3 linked regions of the Drosophila melanogaster genome follow. Changing the gene in region 3 together with the main gene of any one other region gives a genetic interaction. Each region holds a gene or a part of one and is shown on either strand. Other genes may lie near its edges.

Region 1 (3,213 bases), on a different chromosome or scaffold from region 3:
GCCGTGGATCGGATGGATGAGTGAGTTAGTGTAAGGGAGCTTTCCTCTGTTTGGTACACATTGCGAACTGCTCCGATGGCCTGTGGCAATCTACTCCATTCATCCATTATGTCTGTAACCAATTTACCATTTCGATCTTTTCATGTACGTTGAGCTGATTGTTATCGTACTGAAGACGAATCCGCGGCGGAAACTCGCATAGAACAAACAGAAAACTGCGCAAAGGTTTGCTTTTGGTAACTGGTAACGATTGGTTGTGGTTGGTCAGGTCAGGGGTCTTTCGAGCTGGTTAGCCTCCACTTTGGATTGCGGACGGTGACAAAATTCTGGGGGTCTTTTATTTTTGTATTGTATTGTTTGGCAGACAGGATCCATGCAATTGCCTTTTCGTACCGTGCGACATACGGGAAACAAACTATTGTGTAGCAGGGCATTTTTCCTATTACACCATTATTAAGAAAAGCGGACAGAGATCAATGTCACATTTAGATTTGATCAAATAAAGAAAAGAATTCCTCCTTACACGAAAAAGTACTTGTTTCATTTCTAAGTATTTATCAAGATGACTTGAATTTTTTACAATTTTCGCTTGTTAAACTGGTCTATATGTCCTGGATAAGAAGATTTGCAGTGGCGTCCTTGGAATCTCTTTAAAAATGTATACATTTGTTGCAAATAAAGCATTGTGAAATCTATGGACATTAAATGCGACCTCTATTGGAAAACATTCACATATGTCGCAAATTATTATAAGCGGATATGATAGAAAATGTTAAAGTAAAAGGGACTAATTTCAAGGATGAAACATTGAATATCAATAGCAAGCATTTTTCATTCCAACCCGATAAGTACCTATGTACCCAGTTATATTACGAGTAATGGGTATCAGCTGATCGCTACCTTTGCTTCTAAAATGGCATACTGCGTATATCAATAGGCGACATATCGATATAATTGACTGCTATCTCAGCAACATAAAGAAACTGGAATATTCTAACTGTATTTTGCATGCGAATATAAACTTTAGCCGTAATCTTGTCGAATGCTACAAAAAACTACCCAGTAACTTATTATTCTGCCTTTCTTTAATTCGATTCCCTTTGCCATTGAGTACCCGATAGTTAAATATTTGTATGCTGCCCTGCGTACACTGGCCTACAAGCAACTCGAAAAATTCAATTATGTTCGCCGATAGTTAAATAATTTGATGTGGCCCTGCTCACATTGGCTAACAAGTAATGTGAATTAATTATGGGTATAGATATTGCTTGAATTGCAATTCTCATATCACTTTTTTTTTAATTTTCCGTAATATTCATCTTTACGAACCATCCCAATACTTATGCTTCTATTTAAATATTAACATTCATATTTATATTAAACATATATATTGACTCTCTAATATGCTTTAAATGCTATTTAAATCGATTGCGTGCTTAGCATTACATTTTTTAGTCCAATTGTTTGAATATTTTTTCTTTTCGGCATATATCAAAATTACTTGTTAGGAAAAACGTGACCGAAAACCGAAACAGTGACAATAATGGATGGTTGCTGGCGAATCTATCGACTACCTATCGTGTATCGATACACACCGATAGTATCGCAAAAGTTAACGAGGTAGGTCCAGCACCAGTTTTTTTGGCGTGTAGCTGTAGCAGAAGCAAAAGGAAGCCGCTTGTGATAAATTTCAACTTCCATCAGCAAGCACTGAATTTGAGGAAATCAGGTAAATTTTTGCATTTCTACGCGATTAGTTGCTGCCCCGCGGTATTGTGCTTAGTTTTTACGTGTGGTTTACCAATTTCCGCGTACTTAATTGGACATTTTGCCTCGTTTTTTTTCGTACAGCACGCCCGGCATTCGACGCTCCGCAAAAGAAAAAAAAAACTTTTTTGACCACTTAGCAGCTTCAACAAGCAACCAAAAAATCAACATGTCTGACGAAAAGAAGGGAGGTGAGACCGAGCACATCAACCTGAAGGTCCTCGGCCAGGACAACGCCGTCGTCCAGTTCAAGATCAAGAAGCACACACCCTTGAGGAAGCTGATGAACGCCTACTGCGACCGTGCCGGACTCTCCATGCAGGTGGTGCGCTTCCGTTTCGACGGACAGCCCATCAACGAGAACGACACTCCGACCTCGCTGGAGATGGAGGAGGGCGACACCATCGAGGTTTACCAGCAGCAGACTGGTGGCGCTCCATAAGATTACTTAGTTAAGTTAGTTACTCCTCTTACAACTACACACTTAAAACGAAAAAGAAAAAAATACAAGAAAAACCACAAAAGCAAAAACACAACAACAACAACATGAAGAATCCAACAAACCAGGCCCTAAGAATCGATTGAATATGCTTTTAGTACAACTGTAGATTCTAAATGCGTCTGTGTGCGTAAATAACAAAAACATTTGCAGACAAGAAAATGGTAAATAAAGCATTTTATAAACTACACAAAATTTGCCGTCTTTCGCTATTTATTCCTGCGCCTGATCGGCGTTTGTTTTTGCCCTTCTGCAACGAAAAGCCGGTGCGAATTTCCCGCTTTGTGACCCTCTTTCTAAACAGCACGCACACACACTGTCATTGGCATGGCACGTCTGTGTGCGAGCAGGACTGGGTCCAGTGCGCGTGTGTGCGTGCAAATTGATATACATACACATCGGAGAACACTGAATTTGCGGGAAAAGTACAAGCATACATATACGCCTGCGAATTTGCGAAGTCTGGGAAAACATAACCTCAAATTTGAACAAGAAAAAAAAATGACGTCAGTTTTGAGAACCTTCTGGAAATTACATAGAGGTAACTATAACCTCAAAATTGGGATCTAGTAATACGCTTGTGTGTTTGTGAAAGCCAAGCCATACATGATGATTGTGTATGTATACCATGTATACATACATACCATTCATGATGTATGTGCGTATGTGCTTAAATTTTCAAAGGTACAGTTGTGTAAAAAAAAACTATGATGAAAAATTAAAAAGTAGATATGTACGTATGCATACATGAAGTCATGTCGACAGGTCCTGTTATATTAGACCGGCTGTATATGTATATGTATATGTGTTCATTTTTAATATTGGTATTGGGTAAAAATTTCCGAAATTTTTCTTATAGATTTTTTGCTGTCTCACCATGACTCAGCACCATACATATATACTTTATATTGTAAAACATTTATTTTCCAGGCCCTTTAATTATGTAT
Region 2 (5,237 bases), on a different chromosome or scaffold from region 3:
ATGAGGTGAAGAAGATGCATAATGTCTATTCGGCCAGACAGACCTGGAAATGCCCTATCATTCGGAAGTAGTTTTTAAGTTCCTTCATGAAGTAATCATAATATATGAAATATTATTTCATTTGTTAAAATTAAGTTCAGTAGTCAATATGTACACATGACTGCTCTTTAAAGATTTAAAATGAAAGACATAAGCGTATTTCCCGAAATCAAGTAGTTACCGAAAGGTGCACTGAAACCCACATACCTCAACCGTAGGGTAACTGCAAACAGGTTAACCCTCGAAATGGAGCAGCCTGAGCACCCTACTTTGCCTTCATTGCCACTCAAGTGGAAGTGGCCGGCCAAGGAGATGATGATGATGGTGGTGATGGAAATGGAGATGATGATGATCGCGGATAAAGGAGCTGCCTGGTGACTGGAACCGGTTCGTGAGCAGCCGTCAGTGGACAACATGTGGGCCACCTCGAATCCCCCTGAGAGGTTCTTTCGGAGGCAGTGCTCACTGGGCCTGGGTGGACCCGTTAGTCCATCCTTGGCCCGGTGCAAGCTGTGATATAACCAACGATCCCCGTAATGAGCCTGACCAATTACAGCAGCACATGGCTTCCTACGGCCAGCAAAACCTGTTGCCCCTGAAGACGAAGCCCTTCTTCGGTTTTGCAGTTGGGAGAAAGTCTCCTCGCTGGAATAGGGCTTCCCATTTTGGGCGCCACTTGTGAAGAGGAAATCTGCCTGGCACTTCTCAAAGGGGTCGAAACTCTTGCACTTTGTCACGTCTCATTTAACTTGGGAACCCCGGGGGTGGTTGTGCGATCACTGGTTCCCACTGTATAGTTCGCTCCAACCCTTTATATACGTACACTATCTCACATCCAACATGCACAGAGAAAAAAGAGGGGACATTATTGGTACAAATTTGCATACTGTCTATGTAGGCATTTGTTATAATACGTTGCCTATATGTTGTTATATCCCGTTGATATAGGATTCAAACAATGAAAATGTAGTACTAGTTGTGACTTCCTATAGATCAAGTGAGTTCTAACATAATTTCAAAGAGCAAATCTTTAGATTTCCGTAAATGTTTTTCCTATGTGGAGACACCCCTTGACGAGTGGGCGTGGGACACGGCCACGCATGCGCAACTCCCTCCGAACTCCCAACTCGAATCCACTTTGTCTGAGTGGGTGGGTAGTGTGTGTGTGTGTGTGTGCGTTTTCGAGACTGGGTTTGTTTTGAGCATTGGGTTGGGTACAGTCTCCGCTTGGCTTGCCTTGCGGTCGGGTGAGTCACTGGGTCTTGGCCCCTGGGTGATTTTTTCAATCATCATCATCAGCGTGGGGAGTGTGAATGAAATGAAGTCAACAGGAAATAGTCAGTTTGCGGCTAAGAATAAAATCAAATGATCGCTACGCTTTTTTCATGTTATGTAGTGACTACCAAAGAATCAAGTTCAAAAAGTACATAAGGTTCTTTTGGAAATAAAAGAAAGTGATCGCTAATATAATGATTTCCAATTTTAGTCAAAGTTTTCAACAATGCTGTCATGTATTGTTGGGTTAACGAACTCACTTAGTTGTTATTGCTTAACGAACTTGCTTAACTTTGTCTTATAGTCTGCTTCCGTTTTCCACCCCTTTACTTTCCAATCTAAAGGAATATGCGTTGCATTCTAGGCATTTTCCAGTGCTTGGCTTCGTTTAACTCGAGCTTAAAATCAATTTTTGTCGACGAGTAAAAAGCAATTAAGCTGTCAGTCTATGTAAGCAGCTTCAAAAACACAACTAATTTCTATATATAATCCATGGAGACGCCATGAAACGAAATTCCGTTGCCGGTATCCCCCTACCCCGTACATAGTATTTATTTATATAGGCATAATCCCGGGCAAGTGCAATTCGACTGCATACAAATTGCATTTTCCATATAATATATAAATGTATAAAATATGTGCGTGGGAATATAATCTTATATATATAAATATATATATAAAGCACTCGAATGCAGTTATTTGCATTCTGCAGCAGACATTGCCACCCACAAATTTTCACCATATTGCCCATGGCAACAAAAAACCACACATTTTTAGTTTTCATTTGAAAACACCATGCCACAAACGGAATTCGTCAAAGGCAAAATAATCAAATACAAATTATATAACTCCTACATACATATGCATACATATGTAGTCGCATATGTTGCATAAAAACCGAAACCCCAAAAAATCATATGCAAAACCCCCCATCGAATCGAAATGAAAATGCATCTCTCTCTTTGGAGAGAGCGCAAGCCTGTGCCGTTATTTTCTATTTTCCCAGAGAGCGCGAGAGTGAACGAACGGAAGTTGAACTCTCGAAAGTGCAACACAATTCCTTTGCACTTTTTTGATAAGGGGTGTGGGTCGCTTTTTGGGGTGGTGGGTAGGTGGGTGGGGTGGTTGAATATAACAAAAATTGTTATAGACACAAAATTTATGATGTGCTCCGGCTGTGAAAAACAACCACCCACCCAGGAGCGAGAAACTAAGGGGGTTACGATAGGTGGGTGCGGGGGGATGGGGGCGGCAGTTAGTTTTCAAATGCCAAAACAGTTGAGCTATTGTCGCGAGAGCGGGATAGTAATACCCTTCAAAGCCATAACGAGAGCGAGAAAGAGGGTGGGTTGTGCATTGTTTGGGGGTTGCTATACCGTTGCATAGAGCGCCTGCTCCAATCCACACACCAATACCATTTGTTTTTATTCCACTGTGTGCGTGTGTGTGTTTGTGTGAAGTATTGATGAAGGAAAAATAGAAGTTGGCGCTTTTTAGTTGGGGGTTGCTGCCCCCAGTGGGATGTTTCTCTGGAAAAAGTGCATACCGAAAAAGATACGCACACACACACACAAACGCATTGCGGAAAAATCAATAAATCACTTGGCTTGGAAAATAGATATGGAAAGGCCCCCCCTCCCAGGAAAATCAATTAATAGATACTCCATGCTACTCTGATCCGATTTGTTTTAAAATATTTTATTCACCAACTTACCAACATGTTAGCGGAGGTTTTGCAGCCAGCCCCGGAGTATGCAACACTTTTTCGCCTCTTTTCGCGCGGCACACTGTTTAGTAGGTTTGTGTTTCTCCTTTGCAGCTGGAAATTAATTTACTTCACTGATTTGTTAAATGATTTCCTTGATGCACTTTTCGGTTTTCCGACTTAACGAGAACGGACCGCGTTTCACAACTAACCTCATCAACACTCACACACCGAATGAGATTTCGTGACTGAATGAATATGAATGGTCGCGGAGGAGCGGATCCTACGGCGATTCTCCGCCACCCACTCTTTTGGGGTGGCTGATGGGTTGGGCGGAAAATTTCCCGTCCCTCCCCCTATTGGGCCAAGTAAATATGTTGTAATATTTAGTTTTGTTTTTGCGTCTGCGATGCGTTGCTTAGTTTGCTGTTGTTGCCGCGCCGATTGCCTGTCGCGTAATAATAATACCTCTCCGACGTTGTGCAATTGTGGGAAAAGCTTCCTGTCTGCGCCGCCCTGCTTCTTCTTCTGACACCCCTCCGCTTTTCCGCTTTCCACAATTGCAAAAAGCGCGCGCATTCCGCAACGCTCACGCTCCCACGCATAACAAGTGGACTCTCCGGCAAAACTTTGTCACTAAGCTAAAAAAACGATTCTAATATATAAATAGACTTATTAATTGACTTAAATTAAGAAAGAGTATATTAAAATAAAAAAATAATTTATTTTTTATTTGTCAGTATCGGGGTATTATCGATAGTCGCGCCGAAAACATCCGAAAACATCGAATTAATTGTATTCAGCGCGGAAAAAAGGCCACAGCAAAAAATCTCTTAAGTTATTTATTTTTTTTAATTATCTGTAAGTATAATAATAGTTGAATTTATTATTTGACTAATTAAACAACAACATATGATTTTTAAAGACCAATTTTCTTATTTGTTAAGCTTTCATTTGTTAAGCTTAAAAGAATTTCCATTACATAGAATGCTATTGAAATTGAATTTCATTTGCAATCCTCCTTAAAAATTACATTTCCGGTTCCATTTTACAATAATTTTACATTACATCATACACGATTACTACCTTCTAATATTAGCTGTGTCACTAACCCATTGCGAACTATTTTGGAGCTGCTTTCCGAATTGCTACACTTGTAGAGTTTAAGTTACCACCTAGAATTCTACATACGGTTATTTGATTAATTTTATTTGATCAATAAACATATTCACTGGATTATAGCCATGTACAATGCTTAGTCATGCCAACTCTGTCAATTTGTAAAATGTTTTTAAAATGCTCACTCGTATTTATAATTTTTTGCCAAAAAGCTGCCAAACAAAAACTGTTTTAATCCTCGATATATAAAATATTATAATCTTGGTTTATTAGTACAATGTACTACTTATTTTAAGAAGGCCAGCAGCTTTGCATAATACATTAATAATAAAATACTAATTAAATAGTACTGACATGATACATTGAAAGAGAACATTGCAGACAAAAAATAGGATTTATTCATCTGTAGGATGACCCACTCCACTTTAAAGGCCAAGAAAAAACATAAAAGGGAATTTCATTAAAACAGATTAGCGTAAGGTGCGCAATCTTTAATTAATTTTCGCGGATTTTATGTTTTTGCCCTAGCCGCAAAACCATTCAGTCGAGTGGCAAAACGATTGCAGGTAAAAAATGGCTACCACTTAGCCATGACGACGTTCATTTTTAGATTTTCGTCATTTTTTCGTCCACTTTTTCCGTCACTTGAGGACAGCAGTTTTTTTTAGCGGCACCCAAGTTTTAATCAAATTGCACATGTGACCACATAGTCAGCCATATAACCCATAGCCCACACCACAGACCCCAAAACTCCTTTGCTAACCTAATTTTACAGTTGCCTCTTCAGCTGCACTCACACACGCAAACAAAAACACACACACACACACACCAAAATACAGGATTTTTCATCTCCATTTTTGAGAATTTTCTGCAACGTCAACTGTCTCGAAAAGTTTTTAATCAACGTCACCAACAACAAGAGCGTTTTTCTTTTTTCTTGCATTTTTCCTACTTAACTGTTTAATTTTTTGTTCGGTTTTTCGTGTTGCCTTTTTTCCACAGATGGCCTCGATTTTTGTGGATATTTGCCGCATTTTCACCGAAAGCAAATTCAATGCAATTAAAAACAATTCATAATGGTTGTGCCGAGGAGCATTTC
Region 3 (4,285 bases):
GTTTGCATTTAACTTTTTCAGAAGTGTAAAAAGTGGGTAAAATACTTTTTTGTAAGGCCGTACATTATAGGGAATACTAGGAACTATAGTTAAGCTGAGCAAATTCAAAAGAAAAAGTCTTAAAAGTGTTGATCGGGTTAAAACTACCTCACTTTATATATTTAAGTAGTAATGTATACATAAATACGAACTCCTCTTATATTGAATAAATTGTAAATTGCTTTTTCGACACTTTTCCTTTTTTAAGTTCAATATCTGATCTGAATTTCAAAGTCGTAATTGTAAAACTAGTAACCTTTTAAACTAGTAACCTCGTGGCACGTGTCACAGGTGTCATCGTCTTACCTGCGATAATTTGACATTCTTAGAAACTACCTGAAGAAATAGGAAACTACTGGTCTAAAACCAAATACTGATCTATGTTTTGCGTTATCTGTAATTCGTATTAATGATTTTTGGATATAAGAGTGATTTTGTAAAACCAATGCAAAGCAACCTTAATTGTACATAACGGCTGCACATGGTCCCATCGGCACTGCAAGGCAATGCAAGTAGTACCCGAATGTTTTACAAACCTGATCAATAGATGGATCCCCTTTGAGAAAAGAACTTAAATATGATTTTTCGTTTAATTTTTTCATTTTATTTTTCCACCAAAAACTAATTAACATAAAATTGTATTAGCAAAAAAATATGTTTTCGTTTCCATGCTATAGTTATTTCATAAATATATAAATTTGAAACTGGTCTCGTGGTTCTTAACAATGTAAAAAAATAGCTTAAAGTAAGAAAAAAAAATTGGGGGTATGTTGTTTTTGTATTAGTGTTATTTACAATTTGAGGCACTTGGTTCAACTCAACATTGACTAGAAGAAAATAGGGCGTGGTGGTAAATTTTGGGGATTAAGTCACTGCTCCTGCCATAGAGAGATGTAGTCCAAAATCTCCTCGTCGTCGGGGGTGCAGTCCTCCTCGTCTAATTGAAAATGTTCGTACGGTTCAAATTTTAGCTGAAGTTGGGAGTGCGTGTGTAATTCGTTGTCCAGATGATCCAGACGATCCAGGTGGGTGGATATTTGTTGGGGAACTCCTTCGTAGGTGCCTGAATCAAAGGACATGCTGGAGTTGAATGATGATGTTGGCGAGTGGCAGGTTTGCTGGTTTTTGCTGGTGGATACGCATCCTGCATCTCCACCTGGTACGGATGTGCCCACCAAGTTGGTATTTAATGAGAGCGCTGTCAGCGGTTGGTGATTGAACTGCTGCCTCTGTAGCTGCTGCTGTTGTTGCAGAGGACTGACAGAGATCGTGTTTTGATAGTAGGTATTATGCCCTGAGGAACTGCAAGTACTGCTGCTCGAACTGTGACTGCTGGACTCATCCAAACAAAGTTGAAGCTGGGTGACTGCATTGTTGGCACCAATATTGCTGCCCCCATTTAGGTCATCCACCAGATCCTGAAGCCTCCGGATGTACTCGACGGCAATGCGCAGTGTGTCTACTTTGGAGATCTTTTTGTGAGGTCCTCGACCACCACCCTTTGTCAAATCCGTGATTATGGATTGTGGTATATGTTGCCGCAACCTGGCGAAGCTGTTGTTCACCTGCTTTACACGATTTCGTTCTCTAGCATTGCGCCTTTGGACCGACTGGGATTGGTCTACATTATATGGAGCCGGCGAGGAACCAGGCGATAGAGATGATACTGATTCAGAGCATCTGGTCAGTGCCATACCCCTTGGTGTATACTTGCGAGTCTTAATTGGCATTGTGCCAGCGGGTTGATTTTGATTGCCACCGGGAATTAATGGACTAGGGGCTGGCATTATGTGCTGATAACGAAAGATCTTCGTTGCCGAATTGATGGTCGTTGGAAACGTTTCGTTGGTGGACAGCACACTCGATGACATGGTAGTGCTTTTCGTTGTATTATTATTATTTTTCATTAACACACTCGGAGCTTTCTTTAACTTTCCGGATAACGATCAACAGAAAAAAATAAATGAACAGAGTACAATACTTGAACTTGATCGTTTGACACCTTACACAAGAATGAGTCCCTTCGTCCTAAACCCTCGCGTTATGTACCCTTTATGCAACTCTCTGCACAACACTCAGGCAGAGAAACGGGCGAGAGAATCGGAGAGAAAGAGAGAGAGAGAGTGACGGCAAGAGCTACCTGCACAGGTAGGGAACTCGAAGTGAGTGAGCCACAGGTAGTCTCTCTCTCTTTCTCTGTCTCAGGTACTCGAGTATCCCACAGGAAAACTGTTCTCACTCGACAGTCCAAAAGAAACACTCAAATTTTAAACTCAAAATATCAACTCGAAATATCGAAAAACGATCAAGGTATCTGAGTGAGGGCTCTTTTTGCTACGGCACGCCAGCAATTTGATTTCTGTGTTAATTAACTTAGCAAAAGTCGCGATCGCCAATTTTATGTGCAGCTCACGCACGCTTCTATTCATTAGCGCCGGACGGATCCAAGGGATCGACAGAAGATCCTGGGATCCTCCTTATTAGACATTCGGAGTACGCTCCCTAAAGGTGTTCAAACAATTTCACTTATTTCTCCAATTAAATTATCAAAAGGATCACAATTTTTTGTTAAGTAAATCAAAGGGATGTGACACAAGTTCTAGAAGGAAGTTTGCAGTGAAAACTGCGGTTCTTTGTTTGTGGCTACTTGTGTTTTTTCTAGAACTACTGGGATGTTGCTTTAAATATATTAATTTGTTTGGGAATAATTTAGTTCTGGGTTTGATTAAATGTTCACACATTTGACTTTTAACGGTGTATACTTGTTATTTGTTCTATTACATAATGCGGTCTAAGGTAAAGAAATACTAGACATACATGAAGTTTCATACATCTTCTTTGAAATAATAAATTGATTATTTCAGACTGTTGTAACTTGCCATTGGCCACTGTGTCGTGCTAAACGGCGACTGTAAATTGTAACTTCCGCTCTGTTCACAAAAATCGGTTCATTTTGTCACGATCATCAATCGATGAGCGAGTGAAAAGATGCCAAATCGGCGACCAGGTGTAATATTTTTATTGTCCTCAACTCGTTACCCTCGTTTGCTTCTGCCAGCATTTTTCTTTTGCCAAATCATCAGCAATAGCACTTCTTCACTTCTATTTGGCAAATTTTAGATCCCCGGATCCCAAAATCAAAAACCGAATCCGAAACCAAAACCAAAGCGAAAACCGAAATCCTGATAACAAAAAAACCTTTTCAACCATGACCAGCAAACGGCGCTTCTCTGTGTTGTTCCTATAAATAAAATCCTTTCACCATTTCCAATACCTTTTTTGCATGCTGAACTTCGCTTGGAGTCTCCACTCTTTAGTTTTTGCATTGTAACGGAGGGATCGGTAGTTGGTTTCCATTATTTTACCATCATTAACACTATCATTGTTCTTGAGTGTTGCAGAAATTTTGGCAGCACAATGTTCTATTTAAATTTTCGCATTTTCCAAAATTCCATTGAAGCATTTTAATAAATGGTTGGGAGAAATGCCGGTGACATGCCTAGAATAGGGTTGAAGTCGTCATTAGAAACTCCACTCAGTGAACTGTGTGATCTATGGTGTATGCGGACATTTAACTGAAGTGGAATGCATATAATGCATATACGCGATCCTTTTTTCCTTGAAGCGGAGAGTCATAAGCAAGGTTGGTATAATCGCGTGTTCGGTACAATTGATTAATCATAGGTCCAATTCCGGTCACCGCTTGCATGTAAATGCCACTCATACCTTGAACAAGCATTGGATATTACCTTCAAAATTATAGTACCTAGTGTAGGAATCTTTTAATTTTGAATGATTTAAATTTTATATTTCATAAATGCTTCATTTCCTTTAGTATATAATATTGTTAATTTAACTCTATCTTTGTGGAAGTCTTTTATATATTTTCGGAAACTTAATAATGTTTTTTTTATTATTTCGAAAGACTTGTTCTTCAGGAAAACCATCAGAAAGCAAGTTAAGTAACCTTTCGATGTTGTCCCGACAACCAGTAAACATTTTTTTCGGACTACCTTGTTTATATCCTTTTTCCAGACGCAACGCTTGGAGGATTTAAATGCGTAATTACTTTGATATGAAGCATAGTTCCGGACCGCGAAAACGGGAAATGGAAAGGACTCAAAAGTGTAAGCGAGATGAAGAGCGGGGCCCTTGCGATAATTGGGTAGGAGCAGGATGGAACGAGGCAGGATATATAACCTACCCATTATATGGGTATATATGGGTATATATATATATATATATA

The links. Genes that interact genetically often act in the same process or in processes that back each other up.
Region 1: of sc (region 3) and Sumo, changing one enhances a phenotype caused by changing the other (phenotypic enhancement), as found in Drosophila melanogaster (one study listed by BioGRID).
Region 2: of sc (region 3) and chn, changing one suppresses a phenotype caused by changing the other (phenotypic suppression), as found in Drosophila melanogaster (one study listed by BioGRID).

The regions. Positions count from the first base shown.
Region 1 is NT_033779.5:6,966,024-6,969,236, reverse strand, and holds Sumo (small ubiquitin like modifier), read left to right. Parts: upstream 1-1,592; 5' UTR 1,593-1,729; intron 1,730-1,851; 5' UTR 1,852-1,936; coding exon 1,937-2,209; 3' UTR 2,210-2,457; downstream 2,458-3,213.
Region 2 is NT_033778.4:15,113,480-15,118,716, reverse strand, and holds the start of chn (charlatan), read right to left. Parts: upstream 3,257-5,237; 5' UTR 3,029-3,256; intron 1-3,028. UniProt on the Drosophila melanogaster protein: Probable transcription factor involved in the development of the adult pattern of macrochaetae. Required for accumulation of achaete (ac) and scute (sc) in proneural clusters.
Region 3 is NC_004354.4:393,838-398,122, reverse strand, and holds sc (scute), read right to left. Parts: upstream 2,064-4,285; 5' UTR 1,947-2,063; coding exon 909-1,946; 3' UTR 626-908; downstream 1-625. UniProt on the Drosophila melanogaster protein: AS-C proteins are involved in the determination of the neuronal precursors in the peripheral nervous system and the central nervous system. Also involved in sex determination and dosage compensation.